Linked DNA regions of Rhinolophus ferrumequinum. The protein of the gene in region 2 binds, or shares a complex with, the protein of the main gene of each other region. Links are inferred from orthologs where the notes say so. Each region holds a gene or a part of one and is shown on either strand. Other genes may lie near its edges.

What was found.
Region 1: the proteins of SF3A3 (region 2) and SF3A1 are in contact, whole or in part, in an NMR structure (PDB 2DT7), measured with the Homo sapiens proteins. The link is inferred for Rhinolophus ferrumequinum from reciprocal best matches to the Homo sapiens genes SF3A3 and SF3A1. Residues at the interface, in NP_006793.1 of Homo sapiens: Glu80, Phe81, Glu83, Phe84, Tyr85, Arg87, Leu88, Ile91, Lys92, His95; in NP_005868.1 of Homo sapiens: Ala161, Phe162, Asp165, Val166, Leu169, Thr170, Phe173, Asn177, Phe181, Gln184, Leu185, Lys188, Phe195.
Region 3: SF3A3 (region 2) and HTATSF1 share a complex: the UniProt entries of both Homo sapiens proteins name them as parts of the 17S U2 SnRNP complex. The link is inferred for Rhinolophus ferrumequinum from reciprocal best matches to the Homo sapiens genes SF3A3 and HTATSF1.
Region 4: SF3A3 (region 2) and SF3A2 share a complex: the UniProt entries of both Homo sapiens proteins name them as parts of the SF3A subcomplex of the 17S U2 SnRNP complex. The link is inferred for Rhinolophus ferrumequinum from reciprocal best matches to the Homo sapiens genes SF3A3 and SF3A2.

Annotation. Positions count from the first base shown.
Region 1 is NC_046308.1:19,547,586-19,555,262, reverse strand, and holds the start of SF3A1 (splicing factor 3A subunit 1), read left to right. Parts: upstream 1-4,346; 5' UTR 4,347-4,446; coding exon 4,447-4,509; intron 4,510-7,443; coding exon 7,444-7,565; intron 7,566-7,677. Other genes in the region: CCDC157 (coiled-coil domain-containing protein 157), read right to left, coding at 4,121-4,181. UniProt on the Homo sapiens protein: Component of the 17S U2 SnRNP complex of the spliceosome, a large ribonucleoprotein complex that removes introns from transcribed pre-mRNAs.
Region 2 is NC_046292.1:26,530,350-26,538,863, reverse strand, and holds the start of SF3A3 (splicing factor 3A subunit 3), read left to right. Parts: upstream 1-5,246; 5' UTR 5,247-5,343; coding exon 5,344-5,439; intron 5,440-5,726; coding exon 5,727-5,774; intron 5,775-7,061; coding exon 7,062-7,114; intron 7,115-7,219; coding exon 7,220-7,325; intron 7,326-8,514. UniProt on the Homo sapiens protein: Component of the 17S U2 SnRNP complex of the spliceosome, a large ribonucleoprotein complex that removes introns from transcribed pre-mRNAs.
Region 3 is NC_046284.1:19,784,924-19,793,051, forward strand, and holds the start of HTATSF1 (HIV Tat-specific factor 1), read right to left. Parts: upstream 3,214-8,128; coding exon 3,028-3,213; intron 747-3,027; coding exon 566-746; intron 1-565. UniProt on the Homo sapiens protein: Component of the 17S U2 SnRNP complex of the spliceosome, a large ribonucleoprotein complex that removes introns from transcribed pre-mRNAs.
Region 4 is NC_046301.1:61,018,592-61,026,066, reverse strand, and holds the start of SF3A2 (splicing factor 3A subunit 2), read left to right. Parts: upstream 1-4,167; 5' UTR 4,168-4,321; intron 4,322-7,004; 5' UTR 7,005-7,042; coding exon 7,043-7,168; intron 7,169-7,475. Other genes in the region: PLEKHJ1 (pleckstrin homology domain-containing family J member 1), read right to left, coding at 2,027-2,092, 2,168-2,231, 2,309-2,399, 3,233-3,299, 3,380-3,447, 3,537-3,630. UniProt on the Homo sapiens protein: Component of the 17S U2 SnRNP complex of the spliceosome, a large ribonucleoprotein complex that removes introns from transcribed pre-mRNAs.

The DNA.
Region 1 (7,677 bases), on a different chromosome or scaffold from region 2:
AGTTCTCCAGCAGGAGTGACTATTATTATTGGGATGACTATTACTAACAGCTACGACAGCAAAGGTCACCCTAGTCTGGAGCCACGGCTTTCTGTACTTCCGCTTTTCCCCTGCGGCCCATGCAGCCTGTTTCTTGTCCATCTTTAGAGTCTATGGACATCTGAAGACAGAGATTTGGATGAACCATCCATGGCCCCTGACTCAGAAGGTGGAGAAGTGACACTGCCCCAGCCCGTCCTCTGGCTCATTGCACGCCTCGGGGGTTCTCCTCTCTGGCACCTGCCGTCAGAGCCAGCCCTCTCTTCAGAGCCAGGCAGCCCTGTGGACGCTGAGTACTGGTCCCTCCCCACCCTGTGCATTTCTCAGCATCAGAAAGTGCTTCCTTGCACCACAGCCCCTCCTGGCAAGGGCCGTTGGGCAATATTTAGACCATGGCCCCTTGGGCCCACAGTAAGTCCAGGACTGACCATGACACCTCTCTTCCTCCAACCTATTTCTACCCCCCAATCTCTCTCATCTCAGAAAATGGCACCCCCACTGAGCGCACCTGGGCACTTCCTTGAGTCCCCTTCCTTTACTTCCACATCCAGTACCAAGTGCTGCCAATCCCATGTCCAAAGCATGCTGAGAACCCAGCACTTCTGTCCATCAACACTGCTCCACACTCACCATCTCCCCAGACCACTACCACAGCCTCCAAGGGGTCACCCTCTTCCCTTTGCCCAGCACCACCTCTCACATTCTATATATGAAGCCAGAGTGATTATTTAAAAAGGCAACTCCTACCCCAGCTAGAACCCCTGAATGGCTTTCTACAACATAAAGACTGGACTGCTTCCCTAGGCTCGAGCCCTGGGTGGTCTGCCCCGACCTCAGCTTCTCCCCACCTACAATTTGCGCCCCCCACCCCCATACTTCCTCTGGATAAGATACCTCCCTCAGTTCCCCAGGCCAGGTAAAGTCCCGTTACACATTCTCAGAGTATCCTGTTCTTTTCTATCCCAGCACTCACCACACCAGCACTGAATCATTATTTGAGTAATTATTTGTGAGGGGCAGTCTGTCTCCCTGCAAGCGCATGGACTGTCTTTTGAGTTCACTGGGGTATCACCTGGCCACCTGGGCCAAGGGGCCCGAGGGCCAGCCTGTGCCCACAGGTGCTGGGACACTCAGAGGTACCCAGGGGTAGCTCCCGAGGGCTGAGCTGGCCTCTCTGGCCTCCCAGAGTACTGTGCCCTGTTCTCACCTCTGTGTAGGTGACTGCCTATGGAGCTGGATGTCTGCACGGGCGCCTGCCCAACTCTCGGACCAGCCTAAGGCTCAGGGTCAGAGGCTCATCCAGGTACCTGGCTTCCTGTCTCCAGTGCAGGGCTGGCCCCAAACAGCTCTTGGGTCCCTGGGAATGGATGAAGGCAAAAGTGAATGAGCGATCACTCAGGGAGAGCTTATTGGAGGACAGGGAGGAGGCTGTCCCAGAAGAAGGAGAGTGTTCCCGGCTGGATGAATGGGGTGAGGGAAAAGGCAGGTGGGGTCACCTGAGTTGAAACTGCACATAGACAGCATCCGTCAACCGTGCTAGTTCTGACCACAGGACCTACTGTGTACCACTTCCCTACTGTGTACCACTTCCCTACTGTGTGCCACTTTCTTTATACAGATGAGAAAACTGAGGCTCTGGAAAGTTAGGAGGTTAGCCTAAATTCACTCAGGGAGCTGGGATTCTTGAGTCCAACATCTCTGTTGTCCTCAGGCCATGCTGCTGCTGGAGCAGCACTGTCCAAAGGAAATATAATGAAGCCACATATGGGATTTCCAATTTTCTACTGGCCACATTAAAAAAGTAAAAAAAGAAAGAAAGAAAGAAAGAAAACAGCTAAATTAATTTTAATATTTTATTTAAATATTATCATTTCAACATGAAATCAATATAAAGTCATTAAGGGGATTAAAAAATTTTTTTTTAATTTTTATTTTGTTTTGCATTGAGTCTCAAAATTCAGTGTCCATTTGACACTTACAGCATATCTGAGTGTGGATCAGCCACCATTTTCAAATGTGCCACCACATGAGCTGGTGGCCACGGTATTGCACAGTGTAGGTGTAGAGGGCCAGATCCTGTGTGTTCATTCAGCAAACGGTGACTGAGTACCTACTATATCCTGGGCACTGTGTCAAGAATAGGGATAGAGCAAGGCACATGGAGCCCTGTCCACGAGGAACCATCATCTATATCTGAGGGTCTCTTCAGGGAGCGAATCATGGGTGTGTCAGCTCTATCAGTCTCACCCACAGGGCCCTGAGTATCTACCCCACAACACACACACACGCACACACACACACACACACACACGCACGCACACAGGCCCATATCCCATACATATATGTTGCCGTGGTGACTGCCTCTAGTGAGATATTGCCACCCATGAGATTTTATGTCCCCAAGAAATGAGGCAGAAACAGACAGAAAAAAACAGACTGAAACATCCTGGTTTTCCTTTTTGGAAAGGGAGGATGGGAATAAATAAAGCAAGCAAGAAACCCTACCCTGGAAGGAGGCGCTGGAACTCAGGAGCTTGCTTATGAAGACACCAAGAAACACTGACCTGTTCACCCTCAAATAACTCTATCTGCCATCTGAGGCCATCTAAGATACCAACTCCTGTTAGATTCCAGTTCTGATAAGCACCAGCAAATGCCAAAGAAGCAAGAATATGTAAGACGAAACTGCGACATTAAAAAATAGCCAAGTTTACCTGTCAATTCTTCTGAACATTGGGGATTTGCAGATATCAGCATGGTTTGAGAACCACTTAGGTGTGTGTCAAGTGTAGGAGCATTTGACATCAGCTTTCTAATTCCTGGCTGAGTGAAACTCTGTCTGAAGCTGCCAGCCCTGCACAGTTCCTGAGGTCACATAGGTGATGGTACTAATTGAGCCGACACTGCCCTGAGGTAGGAGGGGCAGCTAACTGCCTTTCCTCAGTTCCCTTAAGCTCAAGGTAGACTTCTCATTCACAGAGAAGGGAGGGAGCCTTTCCTCCATTCCCATTCAACATTCGAGCCTCTTCCCTCTCTGAGCCCTAGGACCCTACCCCTCTGGTAAAGATTATGCCTACCTCCCCACCAATGCACCTGCTGAGATTCAAGGTCACCACCATGAAAACCCCTGGAAAACCATGTATATGGCAATTGTCAGTCTCTGACTCAGGACTGTGAATTGCCTGGATCCCTGGGGACACTGAAAAAACCGTGTGAAGACAAAGGAATAAGTAACTGTACTAGTAAAGGAGTAAGAATGGCCTGGGTTTGGGTTCCCACTCCACCAACGCTGAGCTTCACTGTCCTCATCTGAAAAGAAGTTGCTATAAGAAATAATTGTTGTCATGCATGCAGTGTTTGGCACAGGGTTTGGCTCATGGTAAATGTTCAATAAATTCTAGATATCATTATGATTCTACATTAATAATAAACAACAATGACATAAAACAGCTATGAGGTGTGTGTGCGAGAGAGCATGAGAGACAGGGAGGAGACTTGGGAGGGCATCTCTTCCTATCATGCCCCCATTTCACAGGTGAGGAAACTGAAGTCCAGACAAGGCCTCAGAGCTGGCCCGCATTCAGGAGTTGGAAAGGAGGGGAGAGGGTACGGGGAGGAGAGAAAGCAAAAAGGGCGGGATTCAAGTAGTGCCTCAGGGAAGCGAGGAAAGTAGCCTACAGGGAGGTACAAGGGGGAGCGAGGGGGTGAAATCTGAAGCAGCTGCCCCAATTTGACACAGTCCGTGGGACTTGAGGGCGGGACTGAGGAAGGCAGGGAGTGAATCTAGAAAAGGCGGACCCACGGGAAAAGGGACCAGAGATAGTTACAGCTTGGGACTTGGGAGGGTGCTTTGGGGGAGGTGGGCCTGAAGCGAAAGAGGGGGATAAAGCAGAAAGGAAGTGGGGCTTTGAAGAGGAGGGCCCGAGGGGGTTTTCCAAAGTGAGAGACCAATTGGAGGGAGCTGGGGCCTTGAAAGGCGGGGTCGGAGGAAGCGAGGAAATGGCCAGTGGAGTAAAGGAAAGGTGTGCCAGTGGAGTAAATGGGGAGGCGTCCGGCAGGTGATGTAGATAGAACGTCTCACCCGTCTCCGGCGTCGCAGCCTCAGCCCCTGTGTCTGGTCGGCTCATAGAACTGACTGGCATGCCAGCCACTTCTGTGAAACCCGGCAAACTCTAGCCGTGTGCCCCGACCGTTGCCATGGCAACGGCGTCTCGCAGGGCGACTCCCATGGAAATTACGTCACGGTGAAGGGGCGGGTCCGGAAGTGCGTCAGCCTTGTCTCCTCGGCGGCGACTCTTTCGGCCGCCGCCATCTTGCGGGGTCGTCGTACTCGCGCTGCGGGCACCGTTTTGACGCAGCGCTGCTCACCTACACCGAGGCGGACTGGCAACCCTGAGCGTCGCAGTCATGCCGGCTGGACCTGTGCAGGCGGTGCCCCCGCCGCCGCCTGTGGTCACCGAGCCCAAACAGGTACCGTGCCCCCTTCACCTCAACCGCCAGCCCGAGCCTAGGCCTGGGCGCTCCTCACTTTTGCAGGAAGAAGCGGCCGCCTAGGCGGGCTTCGAGGGACTGCAAGTCCCAGGAGGCAACGCGCTGCCCTCCAGTAGCGAGCCGAGCTCTGGGACAGTGATTCTCCAAGCGTGGTCTGCGGACCAGCTGCGTCAGCATCACCTGGGAGTTTATTAGAAATGCGGAGTCTCCACCCCAGGTCTTTTAATAGGAATCTTCATTTTAACAAGATCCCAAGGCGATTCATTAAAATTTGAGAAACATTGTTCCAGCCCATCCACCGGTTTTCTGTGGCAATTGGACCCACCGGCTCCCAGCCTTTGCCCAGTTACCCCTGATTTCCCAGCCTGCGGGGTACAGCTCTGAATGTTAATTCTCAGCATCTACTCGGTGCTTAGCCTAAACCAGACACCGTGCCAGGCTTCCAAGTTACTGGAATGAGTGAGGCACAACTCCTCCCTTAGGGAGCTCACAGGCTAGTGGGGATACAGATATACTTAATTCCTCAACAAATGGTTAGTGCCCCATCACTGTAAATAACAGAGTGGAACTTAAAAACATCTCAGGTAACCGAGGAAGAAAGACGTACATAAACAGTTGCAGTATGTTGTGATTTGCCCTATAACAAATTTCAGGTACAAGAGAGACAGTAATCTAATGACCATTGCTTTGACCGGGTGGAGGGGAGATTAAAGTAGGTGAAGCCCACAGGCGTGCGAGGTAAATTGCTTTTAGAAGGATGAATAGGAGTTCAGCAGGGAGGTGATTGGGGGAGGGAAATGGCATTATTTATTCATTCAGCAAACGTTTATTGAGCACATATTGTGTGCTGACCACTGCTTTGGGTTCAGACTACAGTGGGGAACATGACAGAAGAGGTCCATACCCTTTTTTTCCCCACATTTAATTTTTTTTTTAATTAAAGTTTATTGGGGTGACAATGGTTAGTAAAGTTACATAGGTTTCAAGTGTAAAATTCTGTAATACATCATCTCTATATCCCATTGTGTGTTCACCACCCAGAGTCAGTTCTCCTTCCATCACCATATATTTGATAGGTCCATACCCTTTCCACAAATATTTAGGCACCTGTGTGTCCTGGCATTTTCCCAGTCGCTGGGGAAAAATAAAGTGATACCACGTAAGTGCAAAGACAGCAAGATAGGAATCAGATGGTGCCTCTGGTGAAAGGTAAATAAGTGTGGTTGAAGCACAGTGTTGGGGAAGCGGTGGCAGGAGATGCGGTTCAGAGGATTTGAACTTCAAGTAGACAATGGGGAGAAAAGGATTTTAAGCAGGATAATGACACATTCATGTTTCAGAAATTCAGGTATATAAGCAGTGATACAAAGAACTTCGCAAGGAGGATGGAGGATTCGTCATTTTATTTAAAAAAAATGCTGAGGGCCTGGCTACATTGGGGGTGAGCAGAGGGTCTGGCAAGCTCATGTCACAAAACGGCTTGTAGTACAGGCTCTCCAGCCGAAGTGGTATGTTGGAAATCTGGTTCTGCTGCCATCTGGGCCAGTTAAGCGCTCCATTCCTCAGTTTTGTCATCTGTAAAATGGAGATAATTAAAGTATTTACCTCACAGGGTTCTCATAAGGGTTATAAGAGTTAATATAGTTAAAGTGCTTAAAAAAGCATATGGCACCTACTCTGCTCGATAAATGTTACTGTCACTGAATGTGGAGGTTGAAGAAGGGGTAGGAGGCCCAAGTTTCTGGCCTGGTTGACCAGGTGCCTGCTTGGCCATTCATGAGGAAGGAGGATAGAGTTGAAAGTACCTAGGAGCCAAGTGGATCTAAAGCTCTAGCACACAAGTGATTCGGGACATTCATTTGGGCGGGATTGTTCAGCCTAGAGGTGGTAGGGGAAATGGAGGATGTGGTTGTGAGTTCTGGCCTGAGGACAGTGTGAATACCGGGAAGAGAATCAAGAACAGAGTTTTGGGGGTGCCCATTATAGCGCAGGAGGGGAACCAGAAACCAGGAAGGACTGGGATGGAATGCTGAGCAAGAAGGAAAGACAGGCGAGAACAGGGTTTGGGAGTTGAGTGGAGAGTTTTGTGAAGGAGTGGTCATTGATCACGTGGTCGGGTAACTGCTTAGTGGGCTGTGTGTAGGTAGTTGCTTTTGACTTTGGCAAGAGCATTTCAAATGGATGGGGACCAAATGGGAGGTGAGGAAGTGGGAACAGTAAGGCTGTGAAAACTCAGGATGTTTAGCTAGCGGAGGAAGGCGGGGGAGAAGGCCGCAGCAGAAAGGAACATGAGGTCAGGGGAGAAACTATTTTTCTGAGACTTGACACTTTGTTTACTAAAGGAAGACTGGTGAGGAAAGAATATTGCAATGTATTGATAATGAATGTTGAGTATTCCAGTGGAGTTTCACAAAACATTTTGAGCATTGAGTGGTGAAGACTATGGGTGGATACAGAGGAGAGGGTATTCAGTGCAGAAGGAGCAGCCAGCAAGGAGTGTCCTGTTTCTTCATTGGGCAAACAATCGCTATATAGCCGTCCCTTGGTGTGGGGCTTTCTAGATTCTGGAACATGGTTTCTCAGAATGTGGTCAGAGCTCTCTGCATCTGAATCACCTGGCCTCTTGGTAAAAATACAGATTCCCGGTGTTACTGAGATGGTCTAGCTAGGGGAGCCAGGGAAGCTGCTTTTTATTACTAGTTCCCTAGGAGGGTCCCATGTAAGCACAATGCAGTTAAGAGAACCACTCTTCTGAAGAAGAGGGTTCTAACCCAAAGGAAGTTTGCAGGAGAAGGTCTAATGCTCTCAGAAATATGCTAGAAGGGTTTAACCTGGGGGGAGGGAGAAGGGAGAGGGTGGTCCAGCCTCAAATCATGAACTTTGAGACCTCAATTCCTTTTTTCTTTTTCACAGCCCACAGAGGAAGAAGCATCTTCAAAGGAGGATTCTACCCCTTCCAAGCCAGTGGTGGGGATTATTTACCCTCCTCCAGAAGTCAGGAATATCGTTGACAAGACTGCTAGCTTTGTGGCCAGGTAACATAGCTACTTCTGCTCATGTGGCTCACGCGTGGATTTTAGCCCCAAGCGCTCCTGAATTCGTACAGGGCAACACTGGGTTTTTAGAGAGCCGTTGTTGGCATAGGCC
Region 2 (8,514 bases):
GAATTAGATGTAAAAATTGAGGACGAACTGATTAGAGTGGTAATTGATACTGGAGCTACCCTGTCTCTTCTCAACTCCAACGAGCTTTCAGGGTCCTCTCCCTGGAGTTCTGAATTTATCCAGATGGTTGGGGTAGCCAACCAACCTGTGACAGACCCTACATTCTTACCTACCCCTTTTCAGTTGAGAACTCTTACTGGTAACCATCATTTCTTACTTGTTCCATCAGCTCACATACACCACCTGGGAAGAGATTTTTAAAGAAACCTACCAAGCCCATATTTCCTTTTTCTCAAAAGGGAATGATACTTGAATTATCTTCACCAGGGGATCCTATCTCTGAGATGGCTCTCGCCTAAATCCCCATTTATTCAACTGGCCTCATCAACAATATACATCCTGCTCTCCAAGGGCTGCCCAGAAGCCTTTCAGCACAGTCTAACACCCAATTAAAATACAGATAGATCCCAGTAATCCCCTCCCCAATATTAAACAATACCCCCTAAACTCTGAGGCCTTGGCCAGAATACAAACTATAGTAGACGACTTTTAAAAAATCACCTAATTATCCCTAGAACCAGCCCTTGTACAACCCCCATCTTACTTATCTGTAAACCCAATGGAAGAGGGGGGTGATTTGTTCAAGACCTCAGAGCCGTAAATCATACAGTCGTTTTCTGACAGCCCGTGGTTCCTGACCCCCACACCTTGCTCTCCAGTGTTCCCTCTGAAAGCAGATACTTTTCAGCTACTGATCTCTACAGTGCATTTTTCAATAAACTCAGACAGCCAATATTTATTTTTCTACCTTTATGTGGAAAGGCCAACAATTTACTTGGACTGTTCTTCCTCAAGGATACACAGAAAGCCTGACTTATTTCTCCTCAGTCCTTAAGGCTGATTCTAGCCACCATTTCCTTCAGATGTGGGTCCACTTTACTCTAATACATTGATGATTTACTTTTATGTTCTCCTTCTGAAGAGGCTTGCCTCACTGACAGCTTCCATTTACTTTATAACCTAGCTTCCAAAGGACACAAGATTTTTAAAGGGAACTCCAATTTTGTCAAATCTCCATTAAATTCTTAGGACACCTCCTAACTCCAGAAGGATTAAATCTTGATCCATCATGCCACCATGGCATTTTAAACTCCCCCCTCCTTCAAACAAAAATACAACTTCAAGGGTTCTTAGGACTTGCAGGTTATTATTGGAACTGGCTTCTTAAATTTTGCTTCATGTCCCAATTGCTTTATGAACTACTCAAGAATTTCTCTCGTGATCCCCTACAATGGACCTCTGATGCCCAATAATCTTTTGAAAGAATAAAAATCCAGGTTATCTTAGCTGGGACCTTAGGGCATCCAAATTATAACTTCCCTTTTCACCTCTTCTCTCATGAAAGTCAGGGGAATGCTCTAAGGGGTTCTTACTCCGCCTCCTGGAGGGCAGAACAGGCCTATAAGATATGCTAGTCAGCAATTAGATCCAGTCACACGAGAACTTTCCCCTTACCTTAAGGCAGTTGCCACTGTTTACCCGCTGTTTATGTGCTTTGTAAGGCTACTGAGAAGATAACTATGGGATCTCCTTTTACTGTCTGTGTTCCACACTCTGTTGAAATTATCCTTAGTTCCCATCATACTCAAAATCTTCCTGCTAGTTGTCTGGCCAAATATGAAGTCTTCCTTCTGTCTTCACCCTACCTTACTTTCCCTGATGCAACTTACTTACTCCTGCTGCCTTACTTCCTCTTCCAGATGATAACACCCCTCACGACTGTATTACATTGACAGACCAACTCCTTACCCCATGACTGGATCTACAAGGAACCCCACTTCCAAGCATAGACGATGAATGGTTGACTGACGGATCCTATTTAAGGGACCCAATGGCAATTACCAAACTGGATATACCATTGTGTCCCTTAATGAAATCATAGAACCTGGCATTCTACCTGATGCCAATGTCCAACAGGCAGAACTATATGCTCTTACTAAGGCATGTTTATTAGCCAAAGATAAAACTGCAATATCTATACTGACAGCAGATATGTCTTTGGAATAACCCATGACTTTGCAATGCTCCGGAAACAATGAGGTTTCCTGACTTTATCTGGACAGAAAACTAAAAGTAAAGCTATGTCCTGTCATTCCTAGGTGCCACACTGACTCCCCGAGCCTTAGCTATTATTAACATGCAGGGACATTCTTTTGCCCAAAATATGGAGGCACAAGAAAATGAAATGGCCGATACCACCACCGAATCGGCCACTTTACAGGAGATAACCTACGGTATAAAAACTTCATCTGCTCTTGCTTTACTTCCAGTTTCTCACCTATACCAAAGACTAGCTAAATCTCAGACCATTTCTGTGGAGGATGAAAGGGGGAAACATAGTAAACAAGGTTGTTCCTTTCCTTCTTTTTGACACTTATGGGTAGGCCCTAATAACAGTACTGTCTTCCCCAACGGTCTCCGAAAGGAGAGTTTAACCTTCATTCATTAACTCCTTGGAACACTAAGAAAATGGTCCAGTGGGAAAAACAACATTATTGGGCCCTTCACCCACTATTGCCCACCAGATATATCAGATATACAAAATTTGTCCACAATATAACCCTGGGAAACTATTGCATGCCCTCCATTACCAATAGGGACTTTTGAGGTATGGCAGTTAGACTTTATCCAACTCTCTCTCTCATACGGTTATAAATATGTGCTGGTCATGATCTGTTTATTTTTACATTGGGTTGAGGCTTTCCCTTACCATCAAGACATGGCCCTGGCAGTAGCTAAGGCCCTATTAGAAAAAATTATTCTAATATTCAATTTGGGGAATCCCTCAAGACCTTCACACTGACCGAAGGACTCATCCTATTATTCAAAACATTTGTAAAATGAATAATACAAATTCATTTTGAATAAATTATTCAAAACATTTGTAAAATTTGATCTATCTATTGGCATTTCCATTGTGCTTATCATCCTCAACCCTCTGGATTGTAGAACAAACCAACAGAATAATAAAGACCCAACTGGCAAAAATTTACACAGCATTTAGTCTGCCTGGCCCAAGGCCCTCCCTTTGGTCCTCCTTAACCTTCATTCTACCCCCACTGGAAAACATAAACTTTCCCCTTTTGAGATTATCACAGGTTGTCCTATGAACCTAGATGAAGGACTGCACTGGCTGGTACTTATCAAAGGTGATCACCTACATTACTGCAAGGAGTTTATCAACACCCTACAAAATAACACTAACCTTGTTAAAGAGTCTTTCAACAGTGTGCTTCTGGAAGACAGAGGAGTGCTCTGATAGCCTCAAGCAGGGGGAATTTGTGTATTGGAAAAGACACCAACTCAAAGACTCTTCAGCCCCACTGGAAAGTGCTTTATCAGGTACTTATGACAAATCCATGTGCTGTTAACTTACAAGAAGTTGACTCATAGATTCACATTTCTCATTTAAAAAAGGTCCCAGACCCTGTTGCTGAATGGGCTTCCCAGCCCATCAATGAAACCAAACTCCAATTAACCAAAAGCCAGGCAACAGGATGAGAAGAAGCAGATAACCATTCCCAAGAAACTGGACCCGGCCTGTAACACATCAGTCCTTACAGAGATTCTTAACTTGAGTTTCTTGTCTTTATCTTTTGCTGATCTTTGTTTATAAGGCTACCCTGTATTTTAGGGAAGATTATCAACATGATAACAAATCCAGTTGTTCTCCTTTTTTTTACTCCCTCATTTCTCTAATGCTTGGAAAGATAATATTTTAGTAAAATTCTCTCACAGTGCTGCTAAGGGAGGAAATTTAACTGGTTATTGGATATGTCATCAAATCCCTAAATCAATAAAAGAACAATACTTGTCATTAGTTGCTCCAGTTACCAATTTTAATACTGTTCCCAATGTCACTGTCTTCCCAGACCAACCCATATCCAACTTCACCTTTCAGGTAGACATTATTCAAAAACCAGAGACATCTATCCCCTGCTTATCATTATGCATTGCCCCTGTCATCTCCACTGAATTTCTCTAAATGTCTACGTGACAAAATTGAAAAGAAAGATATAAACAAATTATGTAAACTTGTTCCTTCCATTGGATACGACCCCAATGAATTTTGTAAAGCACGTAAACAGTCTTATCCTTTGTTGGAAAAATTCTCTCAATTGTGCCTATGAATGAATCCACAAAGGAGAGTTCAGGGAGGACAGTTCATTTTATTTTCGGTATAGGAGAAGATTCCCGACTAAAGGATGGGCACATCAATGTTTAAACAGTTGGCAAATGGAAGGACTCTGCCTGTTGGAGCAATTTGTCACTTCTTTACCCATTCATAAGCACCACCCCCCCTTCCATAAGACAAATTATTTTAACAATGAACTATTTCAATAGGACCAAAGGCATATCATGGGACCCAAAGGGGAAGTGCTGGCCAGTTATGATGACAATATAGGACAAGGTAAACTTGGCATACTAAGCCCGAGTGCCAGAATATATTCAATAGGAATATGATTAGGAATTTGTCTGCCACCATGGGAATATTCAGCCAAAGAAAAGGTTGAGTATTGCTGCCCAGCAAAAGTTCCTAGATTCCCTTGCTCATGTGGTCCTTGACAATTGCATAGCCCTTGATTACTTGCTGACCAAGACGGGTCCGAAAAAGAGGATTCCGCTGGTATTTCAAAGGTATGTTAACCTAGATGCACAAGAAGAATGGACAGGATTTGTTTAAACCTTTTACTGATACTAAAAAAGTTATATTGCCTGGGGCATTACCTATCCAGTTAGGAATTTATGATAAGATCACTCTCTGAGGTTACCTTCTATCACTGGACTTGTCAGTTTTAGTACAGAATCCCCTTTCGTCCACAAAAGAAACAACTCAAAACCACCATCATCCCCATTTTACTGACAAGGGCACTGAGGTCTAGAGAAAGGGAAAACATTATCAGAAGTCACAATGAGAGCTAGGGACTCAAGTTCCGGTCCGCTAACTCCCCTCCGCGCTCTTCATCAACTCCTCAGGAAGCCCAGGAAGCGGCAGAGTCGGGTTCCTGGATTTCTGGGTGCTCCCTAGAGGTAGGTACCTGCAAACCAACCGGCATCACGCCACCGCACTCTGGGCCAGCAGGGGGCACTGCTGCCATCTCCATTAGCACAGACTGGATCGCCTTGCGGTGCTCACCGTCCCTCCGCTCACGGAGGCACTTCCGGCACCGCGGAACTTTGGTGCCGGCGGACGCGCTGCGTGGGGACGCAGGCGCGCAAGGCGGCAGGAGTCGCTTCCGGCCTTGTCGGTGGTCTGAATTGAGCTGTGGCGGCGCCGGGAAGATGGAGACGATTCTGGAGCAGCAACGGCGATATCACGAGGAGAAGGAACGGCTCATGGACGTCATGGCCAAAGAGATGCTCACTAAGAAGTCCACGGTGAGTGGGGCCTGGGCAGGGGCTCCATCTGCGGCTGGGCCCCATCCCCGTGTGTACTGTCTGAGAGCTTTCTGTGAGCCGCAGACCCGCCCCGCGCCACCCCCCTCACCCCCGCCGCCTCCTGGGTCTCCCTCTCCGGTCTTGGTAACCTCCTCCGATGTCCAGCGCCCCTAGGCCTCTCTGCTTTAGCCGCTAAGACCTGAGCGGGTAAGCTCCGCCTTCGGGCGGCCTATCCAACTCCAAAACTCCGACTAACGGCGTCTGTGTCACCGTTTGCCTTTCTTTAGCTCCGGGACCAGATCAATTCTGACCACCGCACACGGGCCATGCAAGATGTGAGTGCCTCGCTGTCCTCTTCTCTTTGGGTCGGGATGAGCTGAGAAAGAGAAGGAAGGCGAGGTGTGGGGGGTCTCACGAGCCCTGGTCAAAAAGAACAAGATTGGCCAGCCCCGGGTTATCTGTCCAGGCGGCTGCTAAGCCTGAAGATGCTGAACTGCCCTTTCTCACTCATCTTAATGGGGAATTCTTACTGATTCTTAATAACTCAGAAAGGCGCCCCTTGCAGCATCCTATCCCATGAATGTGCAAAAAATAGTTATAAGGAGTCAGTGACTGGCGCTGAAGGTCCGGTCTTCTCTCCACAAGAGGATGCATCGTGGTGAAGTATTTTTGCCTACGTTGTGTGATTTGCTTAGTAATAGTTTGATTCCTTTTAGAAAACTAATCAAAATCAAAGTGTTGGTTTTCATGACAGCTGAGTGATAGGTAGATGGAGGTTCGTTATACCCAGCTCTCTACTCTTGCATATGTTGGAAATTTGTTTAGAAAGTAATAAAACACCTAATCAGAGTTCCTGATTTGTAGGAGATAATTAGTATGACAAGCCTGTAGTTCCATATCCAAATTCCGAAATACTCTGAAAACAGTTCATTGTTTGTTGGTTTGTTTGTTTTGGTATTACTTGGCAATATCTAACTTGATCTCATTTGGCAGCAAAACCTGACCTGAACAGATGAGAGAGGCTTTTTATGGCCTTTATCCCTCTTGGTAAATAATGCGTGGGTTTCACTGCAGAACTATTACTATTTGTTCCAGATTCCACTAGGGATTTTACATAATATATAGTATCTTTCTGAACCTGAAAATTCCAAATTCTGAAACAAATCTGTCCCAGAAGTTTTGGAGAAGGCACTATGTATCTGTTCCGTCCTGAATTAGAATTCAAAGGAGGCTGTGTGATGTTTTATTTAGCCTGTACACTCCTCAGTCAAGCTCTTTGAAGTAGTGAAAAATCATCTTGGGCTACCCTTTTATCTTTGAAGGTCTTAGATGGCAACTGCTGCTTAACCTATGGCTCGCTTTTATGACTCTTCTAGGGAAAATTAAGTATCAGTTAAATATCAGCATGTAAATACAGGGACTCTGCCACCCCTCAAATTACATCACTTAGGTAGTCTTCAAATCTTTAAAAACTAACCAGGATGCAGTGCTATGTATTAAAATTACTTAATACCACATTGCTCATGGTTTTCCTGTTCTTTGATTAGAGAGCCCTCGTTGGTTGCTTAGCTCTGTAGTTGTACAGATTGCTTCGTTCTCATGGGTTTGTGTTTGCCTTTCAGAGGTATATGGAAGTCAGTGGGAACCTGAGGGATTTATATGACGATAAGGATGGGTAAGTGACAGTCATGGCCAGACCAAGAGTTAACGCTTCTGAGGAGCCATAGTTAAAAGACTGATTTTATGCTTTATGTTCTTTGGATTTTTCCTGAAATTGCAGGTTACGAAAAGAGGAGCTCAATGCCATTTCAGGACCCAATGAGTTTGCTGAATTCTATAATAGACTCAAGCAAATAAAGGAATTCCACCGGAAGCACCCAAATGAGGTATGACCTCAAAAAAAATTTTCTCCAAACCTGCCTAAGAGCCTACTAAAGGAAAGGTTTAAGGAAAAGGGAACTAAATTAAGTGACTCATTTGGTTTTTTTAAAGGAGGGTACAGCTCACAGTGGCCCATGTGGGAATCGAACTGGCAACCTTGGTGTTATTAGCACCACGCTCTAACCAACTGAGCTAACCGCTCACCCCAAGAGACTCATTTAAAAAAATAATAATAATAAAATTATAAAAAAGAAAAAAATGGAGATGTGCCACTCACATGTCCCTTCAAAAAAGAACTTGCTATTAAGCTGCAAGGAGCGTAGTTAGTCAACATCTTGCAACTCCAGTTCTTTGAAGCTCCCTCTCAGATTTAAGCCCATTCTCTTTCTGGGCAGCCCCAAACCAGTGATGAAGCACCATGAGCATACTATAGCCTGGCTATTTCTACCCAATGTGAGACTCTTCTTAAGAATATTCTTTGCTCCAGAGCTCCCCATTGGGATGGTCAAGGTGTTGTCCTATCTGTATTGTGGCCTAGGCTCTCCCTGCCTAATCCTCCTCACCGTTTTATCTTTCATGGGGGTTATGCACACACACACAGCCCCCCCCCCAAAAAAAATAACTGCTTGTGCTCCTGACTGTCTTGAAATCTGATACCTAGAGGATCCAACTAACACAAAGAGGCTTTACTCACTTCCAGTGATCGTTGCATCTTCAAGATTCAGCCCAGAGGCCAACTCCCATGAAATATGTTTCCTAGTCTTACTGCCCGCAATTAATCTTTCCTTTCTTTATGATCCTATCATATCTTATGACAATGAACAAGTGCCCCACAATGTTATAAGATTATAAGGAGCAGGGATTGTGTCTCAATTATCTAGAATCCATTAAGCATCTTGCACAGCTAACCAAAGGAATTTGCAGCCGGGGGGTGGGAGGGTACAAGTCGTGGCTATAGGAGAAGTGGACAGGGATGGGTCAGCAATTACTCTGAGTTTTCATGACTGCGTAACTGGAAAATTGTTTATTCCCTTGATAGAAATAAGGAAGAAAGAGATAACCCATCCGCAGTAGAAATTGAATTTTTATATGTGTAGACTTTCAGGTGCTGTTGTATCTAGGTAGAAGTGTCCCCTGAGCGGTTGAAATTAGGTGACTAGGGCTCAGGCAAGAGGGAAAAGCTCACGATTTAGA
Region 3 (8,128 bases), on a different chromosome or scaffold from region 2:
AACTTTCAGGAACTTTTTCTTACCCTTAGAACAAGACAGACTAACTCAAACCACTGTGCAGCTTTCAAAGTATTTGGATCTTTTAACAGATAATTAGCTTCAGAGCCCTTTCTGAAAAAAGAGGGTTTATCTTGGTTATGATTCCGATCCTACCTTAAAAAAACTCCTCCTTGCACTGAATTTAGGCCTTGGCATTTAACTGCTTCCAACTCCAATCTACTGTGTTAGACAGGGCCAAGCTGAAGCAAAACTGATATGAGTTCAATTTAATTAAACTCAAAAAGTACAAGAAAATAACCTTACAAACAGAACTTTTGACAATACCCCAACAATAGCTCTATTTTGCAAAGGAAGCAACTGAGGCATAAAACTGAAACAGCCAACGCAATGCCCACAATAAGTTAGTGTGAAAGCCAACATATGAACCCAAGTAATAATTTAAAACACTCATCTCTATGATTCCTTCAAAGCCATTATAATTCTCCAAAAAGTAACTGTACACACACACACACACTCACATTTAAAAAATTTTTACACTCATGTTTTGCAAGCTAAATCCACTTACCTGAGTCAGCCTTTCTCTTTTCTCCCCTCTTTTTGGACTCAGTGGGTTCAGGGGTGTTTCTTTGTGGCGGTTCCTCTGCAGGCCTAGCACTGACATCCTGCACATTTGCAGTAGAACTAGACGCACCATCATTAGAAAAGCCATAATTGGCCTGATATGTAGCAATGAAGTCTTCAGTTATCTGAACAAGAAATTCAACACACATAAATTCAAAAATGATTTCCTCCTGCAAAAAGTTTACACTGTGTTAAATTACTGCATATGCAGTTATACAACTTAATACAGAAGTGGGTAATAGTTGTAGTAATAAAGTGTAAATGGAAGAATAGTCACCTTATATACAAAAGTGTGCATACAATGATTCAAAAAATAAGACAGACACGGGTACTTGGATTATCAACACAAAAGTCTGAGCTACTATCAAGGCATTTTAAATGATACTGGCATATTTTCTAGTTGTTTCATTTATAAATTACTACCTCTCCGCAGTCTACTTGATGAAGGCTACAAGTACATATAACAAAGGAAGTACCAGATAACAAAACAGAACAAAAACTATAGTCAACTAGTAATCTAACAACAGAATCATTTTTTTCTTTAACGATATAGATGCACAAAGTGTATGTACATTAAATATTTAAATATCTGCATGCAAAGAGCACACAGAATGGAACTTTGATTTGGTGTATAAAGAATGAGGCCAACAATAGTTAAACAAAATGCTTGTTTTAACTTTATCGTGAATTAAATCACATTCTCATTTAGTGTCATAACAAATTAAGAACAAATCCAACTCACATCTATCCTCCTGGCTTTTGGAGAAAAAAGCACGATTGCACAATGAAAGAAATGTAGTTATATCTTCATACCAATCAATGTTAGACACACACAGGAATGGGAAAAATTTAAACTCAAAGTTTGAAGAGGTCTGAGCCTCCATGACACTAAAAGGTAAGTCACAAATGAACCTATTATCAGACTATTGTTAAAGTACTCAGAAGGCTGAAGAAACCAAATCTGCACCCTAGCTGGCACTACCAGTACAGAAGTGAAATACAGCTGACCCCTGAACAACACAGGGGTTACGGATGCCAAACCCCTCACTCCGACGAAAATCTGTGTATAACTTTTGACTCCCCAAAACTTTACTAATAGCCTACTGTTGACCAGAAGCCTTACTGATAACATTGTCAATTAACACATAGTTTGTGTATGTATTATATACTGTATCCTAACAATAAAGTACCTAGAGGATAAAAAATGTTATTAAGAAAATCGTAAGACAAAATACAGTCACAGTACTGTACTATATTTATCGATACCATAAGTTTATGTTATCTGCATACAAGATGAAAAAAATCTGTGTATAAGTGGACCCACGCAGTTCAAACCCATGTTGTTAAAGGGTCAACTGTGGCAAATGTAAAAATTTGGAAGGAATGCAACACACACACACACACACAATAGGAAAGAAAGAAGTTGAAATAAATAATTTTTAAAGTAACAAATTACACAATGGAGACAGGGTTTGTTATTACAGGCTTGAAAGTCAATTAGTGTGCTATTGGTATCCTTTTTTTCCACCCATATGAGATTTTGATTAACAGGGTACTTTTACGGAAAAGTTTACAGAACCAGGTTTAACACCAGTTATTTTACTTCCAAGCTGAAATAAAATACTTAACGATTTCTCCAAGTACTCTAAATAAATATTCACAGATCTTCTCCAACCATATATTCTGTGCATCTCTAGTCCTATTCCTCAGCCTCCCTAACATAAAAAGGTAAGTCGCAAATGAATCTATTATCAGACTATTGTTAAAAGTACTCAGAAGGCTGAAGAAACCAAATCTGCACCCTAGCTGGCACTACCACTACAGAAGTGAAATACGGTTGACCCTTGAACAACACAGGGGTTAGGGACGCTGATCCCCCTCGCAGTGGAACACCTGTGTATAACTTTTGACTCAAGCAGTGAGTGTGTCTAGGGACAAAATTTAATAGAAAGTAGAGGTGCAAACAAAGTTCAATCAGTAAAGATATACAAATGGCTAGGTGTTTTTTTTTTAATCAAGAAGCTGCATTTGTACGTAGTATACAAGCTAAACACCTGAATTTCTAGGATAAGTGACGTTGGCTCCCTGAGAGTAACAGCGACTAAGTTTGCTCTTGGTGTTTTTCCTTTTTGCAATAAAAAGCAGTCACCAGTGTAATAACCAATTGTGACCTTCACAGATAAAATTAATAAGGCATAGAAAAAAAATTAAGAATTAAATTACATTTAAGACATCTCCCTAAAGATATATGTTCCTTTACACACTGGTTCTGCAACAGACCCAACAACAACAAAAGCGTCACTATCCGTAGGGGCTCCAACTCAGGACCTCGCAAAGAAAACGTACAAGGAGCGCCCCGCAAGGCGGGCCCGCTCTGCAGTGGCACCGGTGGTAACACACTCCTACCTTGGGGAACCAAGCCTTCTTGTCCAGGTCCCACTCGTAGGGGGTGTCACTTGGCTGCTGCACGATAGAATTGGTTTCTCCGCCGAGATCTTTCAGGGTGTCTCCGTCCTTGGTGTCTCCGTACAATTCTTGCATTCTCAATTGCTCATCAAAGTCGTCCTTCCCATCCAAGTTGTTGCTGCTCATGTTGCTGACTTAGCTCAGGGGCAGGGTCCGGGCGAGCGAAGAGGCAAAGATAAGGCTGGAGGAGAACAGAGAAAATGAGGTCTGCAGCTCTCGGCCCGCGCCCTGCCGCCCCCCGGCGCGCCTCCCCGTGGCGCCCCAGCAGCCCCCGGGAGGTCGGGCCACACAGCGGCCGCACCGCCCCCCGATCCGCCCGCCCGCTCGCCGCGAGCGCGCGCGCACGCGCGCGGACCGAAGCTGCCTGTTCTGCTGCGCCGCCGCCCACCTGGCTCGCCCCGCCAGGCCTCGGCGCCGCCGCTCGATCCAGGGCGCGGCGGGAGCGCGCACGCGCGCCGCCACCGCCGCCGCCACCGGGTCGAGGCGACTGCAGGTCCGGCGGCAACGACTTGAGAACGGAGGCCCGCTCAGACTGACGCAGTCGCCATTGATGGCGCGACGAGACGTCGCGGGTCGCGCCGACACGCCCATAATGGCGTCAACAAGCGCCGACGCGGACCTGCGGCGCGAGGCCCAGGGGCGGGGCACTAGGGGGCGCGCGGCTACCACGCACCGGTTTCCGTGCCGGTCGCCTCGGGGCGGTGAGAGCCGCGGAGTGCAGGAGCCGCGGCGGGCAGGGCTGGTGCGGAGCGGCAGCCCTAAGGCGTGTGAATATTCGCACCTGGCAGGCGGGAGTCGGGGCGCCGCCATCTTGGGGTGCATGGGGCAGGCGGAACAGGTTTGTCTTGCGGAGAAAAGGCCACACCTCCTTTGCACAAAGGCTCCTCCTCCTCGTGGGAAATGTGTCTTTACTTCTTTTTCTCTGATTGCTTAGGGTAGGCGCCGAATCTGTTTCATCTTGGTGGCGTAAGCTCCTAGCTTGGGGTCTGATGTGAATGAGTGAATGAGTGAGTGAACGAAGGAGCAAGAGTGGAAGGACTAACCTTTTCCAAACCTCAGCCCCCTCCTTTATCTCTGTGGTACCTTCTTCAGGCTGCAGATGGACTCTGGAAAGGGAGAGAGGGCAGCAGTTAGTTGCCTGCCTCTTGGACTTCATGATTCAGAGGTGCTCAAGCTCGAAACCTGAAACATAAACATCCAAGTGTAAACACCAGCTTTATTGGCCGACTTTTTTTGTTGTTTTTTATTTCTTTTAGAAAGACACAATGTTTTTCCTCTAAACAACTTTTTAAGAAATTGCACATCACTGAAAATGGAGAAGTCTGTAATTTTTAATTGGACGGACATTTATTGAGCTCTTGCTAAGTGCCGGGCACTATACTGGGTAAGCTCTGGCTACACAGCAGTCGACAAGACAGGCACAGCTCAAGGGCGACACACTTACTTGGGAAATGATAGGATTGAAATACTGGATGCAGCAGTTATCAAACTTTCTGGTCTCAAGACCCCTTTGCACTCAAAAGTTACTGAAGACCTCAAAGAGCTTTTGTTTATATAGATTATACTTATCAGTATTTGTCACAAAACAATCATTTAAAAGTATTTATTCCTTTAAAATAATAAACCCATTATATGTAAACATAAAGTTCATAACCCAGACTTGAGGGTGGGGGAAAGAGTCCCAGAAGAAATTATTTCTACTATTTCCTTTGCTTCTAAACATAGCAGTTGAGTAAGGTTCTAGAAAATTCTCACTCCCCAAACACCAGCTTTGTGAACATGGTTTCCACCATAACAATGATTTTTAAATAGTATCTTGGGTTTTTTTTCAATTACATTTCTTTTTATGAAGTTCTTGTTGTGTTGGGAACTAGTGGAGAACTGAACTTGCATGCAGTTTATAATATAGATAACATGAGTTTTATTAGGCTCATTTAAGCATTGCTAAATATTTCTTCCTGGATCCAAAAATAGTATACAGCTGTTTTCAGCAATGTGTTATTGGGTTCCCATTTAATTCCTGAGTGAATTCACAGCATAAGTGATAATATGATACACAGCCCTACTGCATATGACACTCTGAGTGCCTGCTGTATCCGCAGGCCCCTTTTAGTAAGTAGTCAAAAAGGTTTCTTATGCCTGCATCCCATGTGACCCAGCCAACCGGGCCCAAAGGCTTTCCAGAAGCCTGCCTTCTAGACTGAATTTGATGAACTGAGCCAATAAGAGCCTCTCCCAGTGAGGAATGAGTATGGAACAAACAGGGACATAGAGGAGCACAAAAGCAGGGAGGCCCACGTAGGAAAGGTGACTAGCAGAACAGAGGTCTGCTGTGAAGTTCCCCAGAGGTGAGAGGAGAACCTGACATGGACAGAGGGTCACTGAGTCACCATAACAGTGGAGTTGGGAGCTAAGCACACTTGTAGCTACAATAGCATTCTATTTTACCATGAGACCTGACAATTGTTTTTTTAAACAATGCTATTGTCTCTATGAGGCCTGGTTCTTGTTTGTTCTTATTTCCCTGTGTATTCATAGAATTAACTCCCTAGTAATCCCGAGGTAATCTGTAAACGTCTCTGTCTTTGTAACCTGTCTTTTTCAAGATTCTTTTGTAAGTCAGAGAAACACTTAAGGTAACAAGCAAACAGAGGGGACCTTTATTATTATAAAGATAGGGGGTAGCTCCTGAAATTCCAGGACCAGAATGTAGATGGGCCACATCAGGAGCAGCTGGACCCAGTAAGCTGAACCAGTCTTGGAACCCAGACAGCCAGCTTCTTTTTGAATATCTTCTTCATTCTTCTCTCTCTGAACTTTGTAAGCGGTGATCTGTATTGTACTCCTGGCTTGATAGGCCGTGACCTTCCTGGTAAATAAAAATACATTAACTTACAAAAGCAAAGACTTCTTGGCCAGAGAAGTCACCTACCTGGTCTAGGAACTCTTTCTGGAAAATTACTGAGCTATACCAAATGACATTTTTTTTAATGGCCTATTCAAGCTAACTCTATTTGGGAATTTTCCTGTTCCCACTTCCTTCAATGTCAAGACTGAGTGGAAAGAAAAGTAACTCCTTTTGACAAAAAGATTGATGGATCCCTGACCTCAAGTCGTAACTGCAGAAATTCTTAAACCCAAATTTGCTATTTTCAGTAGCTATGCCAGTTAAATATTTTGTGGCACTTTCAACTTCAATGACAAACACTTCCCCATTGGACGTTTTGGTTGTATCTAAGTTTGTGACTTTGTTTTCCTGCTTTATAGCATATTATTATGGTCCATTATTCCCAGTCTTATGAGGTCTGACAATTAAGTTTGCGAACTTGTTGCAAAATGTTGCTAACCTTTTTTAGATATTAGAGGGATTATTCATTATGAATTTGTACCAACTGGACAAACAGTTAACCAATTGTACTATTTGGAAGTGCCGAAAAGGCTGCACGCGCGAAAAAGTTCCTTTTCGCCAATAATTCATGGCTCTTGCATCATGACAATGCACCAGCTCACACAGCACTGTCTGTGAGGGAGTTTTTAGCCAGGAAATAAATAACTGTATTGGAACACCCTCCCTACTCACCTGATCTGGCCCCCGGTGACTTCTTTACCCGAAGATAAAGGAAATATTGAAAGGAAGACACGTTGATGACATTCAGGACATCAAGGGTAATACAACGACAGCTCTGATGTCCATTCCAGAAAGACAGCTCCAAAATTACTTTGAAGAGTGGACTAGGCGCTGGTGTCGGTGCATAGCTTCCCAGGGGGAGTACTTTGAAGGTGACTATCATGCAGGGTCTCAGCTCTCACTCCGCGCACAAGAACGCAGGATATGGTGAGGCCAAAAAGGAACACCCACGGAGCCATAGATAGGGGAGTCTTACCACTACAGTCTCACTGGAGGCTGGGTTGGAGACACAGGAAGCAGGAGACACATGATCCACAGCCTGCCGTCCACTTCTCTCTGCCAACCCACCCCACTTGCTAACTGCAATCCTCCGTGCTAACTGCAATCCGCGCTTGCTAACTCAGCCACCATCTTCTTGCTAGCCCCCATTTTCTGCTAGCGTAGCCACGGCAGTTATATTAGTGGCCAGTGGCTCACTGGTTACAGCTGACGGCCAACTAGCCACAGCTGATGGCCATCCAATCAGAGTTGATGGCCATTTACTACCTGAGCCAGCACCTTTCCACGTGAGGCCGAGAGCCTGGAAACTGCACTCCTGGCTCTGTCCCCACAGTGACTGTAGTGATATTAGCAATGAGGTATGTAGCACTTTTTCTAGGATGAGTTCATGAACTTAATTGTCTGACCTTGTAGATCAGGACAAACCCAGAGCAAAATTGAGAAGTATACAAGATTTGTTCTTCATGTGTCCCAACTCTCTTCATATTGAGGACCCTCTCCAAAGAAATGCAAACTTCTGTAGTAACATTTCTGGTACAACAATAGGCAGTGTGAAAGAAATTGTGGATATTGGGGCCTATTTGTAAGGTTAGTCCTGACAAGGAAAATCTGTTTAAAAAAAAGACCACTCCCTCTAAAAAAATCAAAACAATTCTATGAATTTTAATCCCAATTCTTTAATTCTGGATGGGAGGCTGATGCCCTATAAAACTAATTAGGGTATTAGTTTATATCGGATCCATAAGTCACTTCAGGATTACTTAGAATGTAGAAAATGAAAGTTCTTTGAGCTCTAGTTTAATCAACTGCTAAAAGGCTGTCTTGTAATCTGGTACTTTTACCAAGTTATCTCTAAAATGTTATATCCTTAGGAGAGAAAAGATGTAATTTTTACCCAGAGTAAGGAAAATAATAAAATATTTGGGAGCTTTGTGACTTGAAAATAACTTAAATTTTGGGATTAAAATGGGTTCTCAGTTACATGCTGTCAGAAGTATTGTTTTTAGAATACAAAGTTACGCAGTCATTTGAAACTTTATTTAATATTTATTTGTTTTGCCCTGCTTATTACAATGCCCGACTTAAAACAGTATTAATATAATATTGGCACTCCCCACTTAAGTGAACCAATTT
Region 4 (7,475 bases), on a different chromosome or scaffold from region 2:
TCTGCCAGGTCCCTGCATCCTGATCCCTAGGGGCAAGACAGGCCTTGGCAGATGGGAGGAGGGGGTGGGGGGCTGGAGTGGGGGGGCCTGGGAGAGCCCTGCCTCCTGTGTGCCCTGGGGTGGTGCCTGGCCCAGAGCAAATCCAGGCTGAAGATGGTGCTCGGTCAGGTTCTTGGAACCGGCTGCCCTGTAACTGCTGCCCTGGCTCCCTTCCCTGCCGGTCAGTGCACGAAGGTGCTGTGCTCACCCCAAACCCCATGTCCCCCCCTCCCTTGTCAGGAGCACAGGGCCCCCTAAAAAGCTGCAAGGCTGACAGTAGCAAAGTCACAGCACGTGGCGAGTCCCTGGTCTGGAACTAAGCAACCGTTCTCAACAGTGCTTCTCTTCCGGACGACTGGGGTCCTTGTGTGGACTTCATACTGACATGCCATATCTGCCCCACAGCAGTTAGCACTGGGGGTCTCCGTCTGTGCCCGCCCTCAGCCCCTAGGCCCTCCTGACCAGGAGATCGATCGGCCACTATTGGCTGCCAGGGAGGGGAGGCCGCATGGCCCTATGGGGAGCGGGTTCTGGTCTCTGTGCAGAGACCCTGTGCTGCTGTGACTGTGGGCAACTTCAGGGAAGCCCAGGGCTGCGAGGGCGCTTTGCTCAGGAAACCTAAGTCGGACGACCCTCCCAGTCAGGAGGAGCCAGCCTTCCCTTCCAGCTATGACTCGTGACTTATTTAAGACCCACTCACCCCTTTATTTATCCGCGCCGTCTGCAGTAGGAGATTTGTTTTCTTGTCCTTTTACCACCACCCGCCACCCCCGCCATCATTCCCATTCAGTCTCAACCTTGACTATTAACTCAGATAGGGCCCTGCCTGCTTTGTGGTTCTGGTAGACTGTCTCAGTTGGGGCGCTGGCGTGGCCTTCTTTCCCTACGGGAATCCCACTGCACTCTGATTTCCATCTCTAGACTGTAATAAAAGACTTGTTTTCACTTGAACCTGGTCTGCTGGCATTTCTTCCTGGTTACCACAGTGAGACCTTAGCCTTGAGGGCCCAAGTGCAGAGGACGGTCACTCCCAACAGGCCCACAGTGCTCCTGAAAGCAGCCGCTGTGACTAGCAGACTGCAAGTGCCCACCTCAGGGAGGCCCAGCCCCTGCAGGGCTTATACCTGACGAGGTCCAGCACCCCAAGGACGGCCCTTTTGATGAACTAAAACCAACCAACTGCGACTCGGACGTGGGCAGAACCCTTTCTGAGGTCCCACGTGCACCCAAGGGAAAGCCCTGTGACGATGGGTGGGATCACGGGCCACCTGAGGATCCCATCACACCCCCGCCTCCATCCTACCTTAGGGCCTGTGAGCACCAGAGGCCCCAGGGGCCAGCCTCCCTGACTTGCCAGGCTCTGGGTTCTGGGTCTCCTCCCCTCTATTTGGGCAGCCCAGCCCCTTCTTCCCAGGCACTTAAACCTCAGGCCTGGAAAGGACCTGTCCCCCAGGAGCCTTACTTCCCTCAGGGGCCAGCTCCAACGGCCTGGGACCACCAGCCTGTGGAGGATCCATGTTCCTCTCTGCATTCACTGCACCACCAACCCATGTGGAAAAAAGAGGTACCTTTATTTGAACAGAATAGGCACACGGGCCCAAGGGCAAAAGCTCCCAGCTCTGCCCAGCGGCCTCCAGCCAGGGCCGGCCCTCGCCCTCAGCAGGACAGTTCACAGCCCCGTGCCCTTCACAGCATCGTCCAGCTTCATGCATTCAGCCTGCACAGAGCAGGAGCTTCGGGCCTCCCTCGCCAGGCCCTGGAGGGATGTGCCCGCGGGGCCAGACACAACACTCCCCGGCAGCAGCATGTGGCACCAAGAGGTGCCGGACCAGTCTGGTGGGTCCCAAGGCACAGCCCCTGCCCACTCTCAGCAGCCTGGGGCCTCTGGAGTCTTGAAGCCGAAACACCTCACTCCATAAATCCAGGTCCCTGGGAGGGGGGGGGGGGCTCCTCAAAACTGGTGAGTGTGAGGAGCCTGATCGTGGACTCATGCCTTCAAGCCACTCAGCTGGAACCGGGCCTCTTCCGATATGCCGAACTGCTCCAGGGGGTCCTGTGGGGTGGACAGCATAGCGTGAGCCCCAGGCCACGAGCCACCCCCGTCCCGAGCCGTGTGCCCCATGCCCACCTTGCCGGTCATCTTCTGGATCTCATTCCTATAGAAGATGAGGCTCCGGCGCATGAACTCGTAGCTGGAGAAGAAAGTGGCCTGTGTTCACAGGGCTGGCTCTACCTCCACCCCAGGCCCCCTGGGCCGCCCATGCCCCACCTGGCTCGACGAAGAGCCCCCATCCACTCCTGACACTGCTCCTCGCTACAGCACTCAAAGTGGTACTTCCTCTCCGGGTCCTCGATGAAGCCTGCAGAGGGAGGGGCCCCGTGTGTCCCTGCTCACTCCCACCCCCACCAACCACAGGCTTCAGCTGTCTGTTGCCACTGTCCACAACTGTCCCCTCCAGCCCAGGCTCCTCGCTTCCCACCGGCTGTGGGTTGACCTGTGTCCCCCAAAAGGGTAGGTTCAAGGCCTAGCTCCCAGAATCTGGGAACAGGGTCATTGCAGATTAATTAAGGTGAGGTCATGCTGGAGTGCGGTGGACTCCTAATCCAATAGGATTGGTGTCCTTACAAAAAGGGGGAATTGACAGACACACAGGGAAAAGGCCAAGAAGACGATGGACGCAGAGCGGGGTGATGCGTCTACAAGCCAAAGAATGCCAGAAGCTGCCAAGCCTCCAGAAACTGGGAGAGCCTGGGACAAATTATCCTCAGAATTAACCAGTCCTACCGACACCCCAACCTGAACTTCTGCCCTCAAGCAGTGAGAGAAGTAAGTTTCTGCTGTTGAAGCCCCCCCCCCCCCCCCGTCTGTGGCAGCCCCAGGACACTAGAAGTTCCGGCCTTCCCTGAAAACTCCATCCTCTCAAAGAGACCCAGAAGAATCCTCCGGGGTCCCATGCACAAAGCCCGGCACTGAAAATGGGTAAATACAGCAAGCATTGACCCGAGGGCTATGCTCCCCAAGAGAAGACAAAGCCCTTGTGGCCTTGCGGTGGCAGCTAGGGAGGGGCTGGGACGGATGCGCACAGCCTGCACCACAGGGAAGGAGCCCAGCCCTGAACTTTGTTCCTGGGAAGGGACGGGGCAGGGCGGAGTTGGGGGTCATGGCCGGCCTGGCCCCACCCCCCGCACTCACTGATGGAGAAGCCGCTGGGCTCTTCCTGGGTGATTCTGCAGTGCTCCAGCAGCAGGGCTCCAACGGGCTGGGGGCAGACGGGGCGAATGGGCGGGCCACCCTAGGACCCCAGCCCCCAGCCCGGGACCCGCCTCCCCGCCGCCCTACCTCTGCCTCATCCGTCCGGAAGTAGAAGAGGAAATTAACCACCAGCTTCACCAGTCGTCGCTTCACCACTGCGGACACAGGGCGGGCTCGCGAGGGCTGGCGGCCGCCCAACCCGCCGCTGCCCGCCCGCCCCGACCCTCGGCCCTGGCCTGCTCACCGCTGCCCTTCTTGGGACCCCGCATGCCCAGCTCGGCCGCCAGCTCGGCCGGCTGCCTGGACAGCGCCTGCAGCTCCTTCTCGTTGTAGCGCATGGCGCCCCGAGGCCCAGAACGTAGAGTACCGGCCGCGCCCTACCGGCCGTTGTCCCCGCTCACGCCAAAAATGTCCCAGGGCACGTCCCGGAAGTTCTCCCAGAGCTACTGCGCCGGCGCGCCCCAGGGCTGCCCATCCTGTCAATCACCGGCGAAGGGCGCTGGCGTCCCGGGGGCAGCAGAGATCGAGTGGAGCCCTCGTGGGGCCCACGGGAAAGTCAAAGACAGACTGTTATATGTATCATGCAGTGTTAGGCCCAGGATAGAAAAAATAAAACACCCCTACGACCCGTGGCACCCAAATGGGCAAGAATAGGCGGAAGGTCTGGGTACAAGTCGCTGCCCTCCTTCCCGCGAGAACTGGGTCCTGCGAGTAAAACCGACCGAGAGGTCATTGAGAGCCTGTTGGGCATGCGCACTTCAGCTTCCAGCCTGCACGGAGTCCCGCTCCCTTTCCTGGCACCTACAGAGCTGCTCATTCGCGCTATCGGCTGGGCCGGACATGCGCACATGGGAGGCCCGCCCCGTTTGCCCCGGAAGTGCATTCTTAGCCCGCGGGGCGCGTTCGCGGGACGAAGTCGTGGCGGCAGTGGAGACTGAAAAGGCAACGGGATCGCTGCATCCGGTGCAGGTGTAAAGCGGAGCGAGAGCGGCGGCCCCGGAGCCCGGAGTTCCCTAGGAGATAGCAGACGTGAGCGAGGGGCGCCTGCGACGGGGGCGCAGGCTGAGGGCGGGCCGCCGCGTCGCCTCCTCCCCGGGGAATGACGGGCCTCTGGGTCCCCGGAGCCCTCCGCTCGCTTGGGATTCTCCAAAGACCCATTGGGATTGGGTCGGGGTAGCAGCTCGCATGGCGCCTTCCGTGTAACCGAGGACCCCTCCGAGCATTAATTTGCATCCGTTAGTTGACAGACTCTGTGGTACGGGAGTCACTCGGTTCCTCTTCGCCTCAGTTTCTGTAACTGGAATGGGGGTAACAGCGATCGCCAGTTCCAGGGCAACTAAATAATACATAAGGTCCTGGAGTAGAGTGCCCAGCGCCGTGCCGAAGGCCACCAGAGCCAGTTAGCTGGCTGCATTTCGCCAGCGAAGCCCCGAGGTTAAATGACTTTCCACCACTCATACTGCTATGCGCGGTCGGCTTCTTTCTTCTACCCATTGGCCTTGCAGAACGTGCGAGAGGAGCTCCCGATAATAAACTGTCTGCCAGGTTTAAGGAGATAATAGTATGTTCATCAAAAGCTGGCATTCATCCCTGCTCGGTCCTCTGCCCCGGAGGCCGCCTCTGCTCAATTTTTAAAGCCGTCTTTATCTCCGTAAACATTCTTTCTGGATGTGCTGGTGTCAGACGCGACCTGCTGATTTCTTACGTGATTGATGAGGTCGTATTTCTGCCTCCCACCCACTCCCACTTCACCCTCCTACCCTGGATGCGTTTATATATCGCAAGCTTTAGTCAAATTATTAGTTCTGTTTTCTGAGACTGAAAGTATCCTTCGTGGCTAAGGCAAGTAACAAGTTCATCTGTGCGGCTTTTCCTGTACTGTTCTCCCCCAACCACTACCCCGAAGCTAATGAATGTTTTCATTTTTCCTGTTACCCTGATTTTCTTTTCCTCCTGTTAATTTTTCCTCAAAGTTCCATCACCTCAAACGGTGATAGACTGTATTTTTCCACAGGTTTAGAGGACTTGGTCCTTTTTTTAAAAAAAAATTCCGCCATAGAAATGTCTCTCCCAAATGCTGACATACTCCTGCTTCACTTTGTTCTGGTTGCTCACCTTACAGAGAAGCAGTTGTCCTAGAACGTTCTGTCAGTGCTCTCGGGTTGGCTTGTTTCCAGTCTGACTATCTCCTCTTCCTCCTATCGGCCCATCAATCGCAGGGTAGCTTTTGAAGAAATTGATTGATGGACTGATTGATTGATTTTGAGCCCTTTGAGTCCTGAAAATGGCTTTATTTACTTACACTCACAGTTCGGATATAAAATGAAAACTCGGGGTTAAAAATCTACGTTGAGAACTGTGGGAGTATTGCTTCTCTTACATGCTCAGTTCTGAGAGCTCTGGCCCCATTCTGCTTTCTAACCTTTCGCTTCTGATCTTCTGTTTGTGCAAATGGAAGATTTTCCTCATTGGTGTGCAGTTTCATGATCCATTTATTGAGAGTCTTTTTGTTTCTATTGCAAGGAATAGGTCCTTTCAGCCCTGGGGCATTTTCTTTCAGTGTTTTGATAATGCTTTTGTGTTAGCTCTCTGATAATATTTATTTCTTTGATAAGACTCTCTGTGTTTCTGTCTGTTTTCACTCTGGAATTTCATCAAGGTTCTTGCACTGCCTCATATGTTTTCCTTTTTCTCTTGTTTTCCTTATGAGATATGTCTTTGACTCTTACCTCCGAGCCCTCATATTCAATTTTTTGTTTGGATCACCCTGTCTTCTTTCCCAGGGTTCGTTGCGGTTTTAATTCACTGTGCTAACCCTTGGCAAGGTGTTGGCACCGTCTATTGAGGTTTCCATCAGGTTTATTTTTTTCTCAGCTGTATAGAGATTCTTTTTGTCTGTTACGTGAAGTTGCCACCTCTGTGTGTGAGAGCTGTCTGTGCTTCTCATCTGATGGGTCTCACTGCTCAGTTGGCCTGGCAGGGAGCTGGTATTTTATTTGGGGCACGAGGGACCCCTACTGTCAGTGTCTGAGAATACTTTCCCTGGCGCTCCTTCCCCAGAAAAGTCTCCTGAAGTCCTCCCTAAGCTGGGGGCCTCTGACCGGGGCCACCTGCCTTTGGACATGGTGCAGGGAAGGGCAGACTGCCTGCTGGTCAGTGGGCAGCTTTTGATGAAATCCCCTCTTCAACCTGGCCCTCACCCACAGCCTCTCTGTGCCTGGCTCCCAGGCCAGAGGCCCCTCATTCCAGTTCTTAGAATCAAACTGATCTGCCCAGGAGCCCAGATACCTGTGGAAAGACCTTCATCCCAGGCTGTGAGCTCTCAGTTCATTTGGGGTGGGGGTGCTGCTAGGGGAGGAGGGACAACACGGGAGCAATGGGCTTTGAGTAACCAGCAGTTTTGGTTTCCAGTGGTTACTGGTTTTGCCCTGATTGGTGAGCGGTTGAGTATTTATGTGGGCTTAGATTTCCCTAAGTCAATCATATTGTCTGGACAGGGGCTTTTCCCAACCCCGGCCAGCCACTGGCAACATAGGAGCTTATTCTGGCCATTTAGGATGGAGGGATGACGGGATGGGGGGGGGGTGGCAGGAGTGCGGGGTGAGAGACAAACATTGGGGGGCATGGTCTCCTTGCCTGCCCGTCCACCAATCCCGGGGAGGCCCCAGTGACAGCCACCAGGTTCTCACTGCCTCTCCCCTTTGCTCTCCAGGTTTCTCCCCAGTCCAATAAAACCCCAAGGCCCTCACCATGGACTTCCAGCATCGCCCCGGGGGCAAGACCGGGAGTGGAGGGGTGGCCTCCTCCTCGGAGAGCAACCGGGACCGCAGGGAGCGTCTCCGGCAGCTGGCTCTGGAGACCATTGACATAAACAAGGTGAGGTAGGGCTGGAGGGGGCTCCCCACAGCCTCCTTTCTTCCCGGGGACCCGTGGTCCCGACATCACACCGCTACCCTTGAGCAACCACCCAGCTCTCTGGGCCTCGGCTTCCTCACCTGTAAACGGGGGACTTGGGCCGGAGCAGCAGGTCCCCCCTGCCCGCCCAGGGCCGCCTGCTATCAGTGACCCCATGTGTTTACGGGTTTTCTCTGTGTAAGGGGTTTGGTTTTGTTTAATTACCCAGCGGCGTAGAGAAGCAGTGGTGAGGGCCATGATGGCGTCATATAGATTGGTACCATTCCAG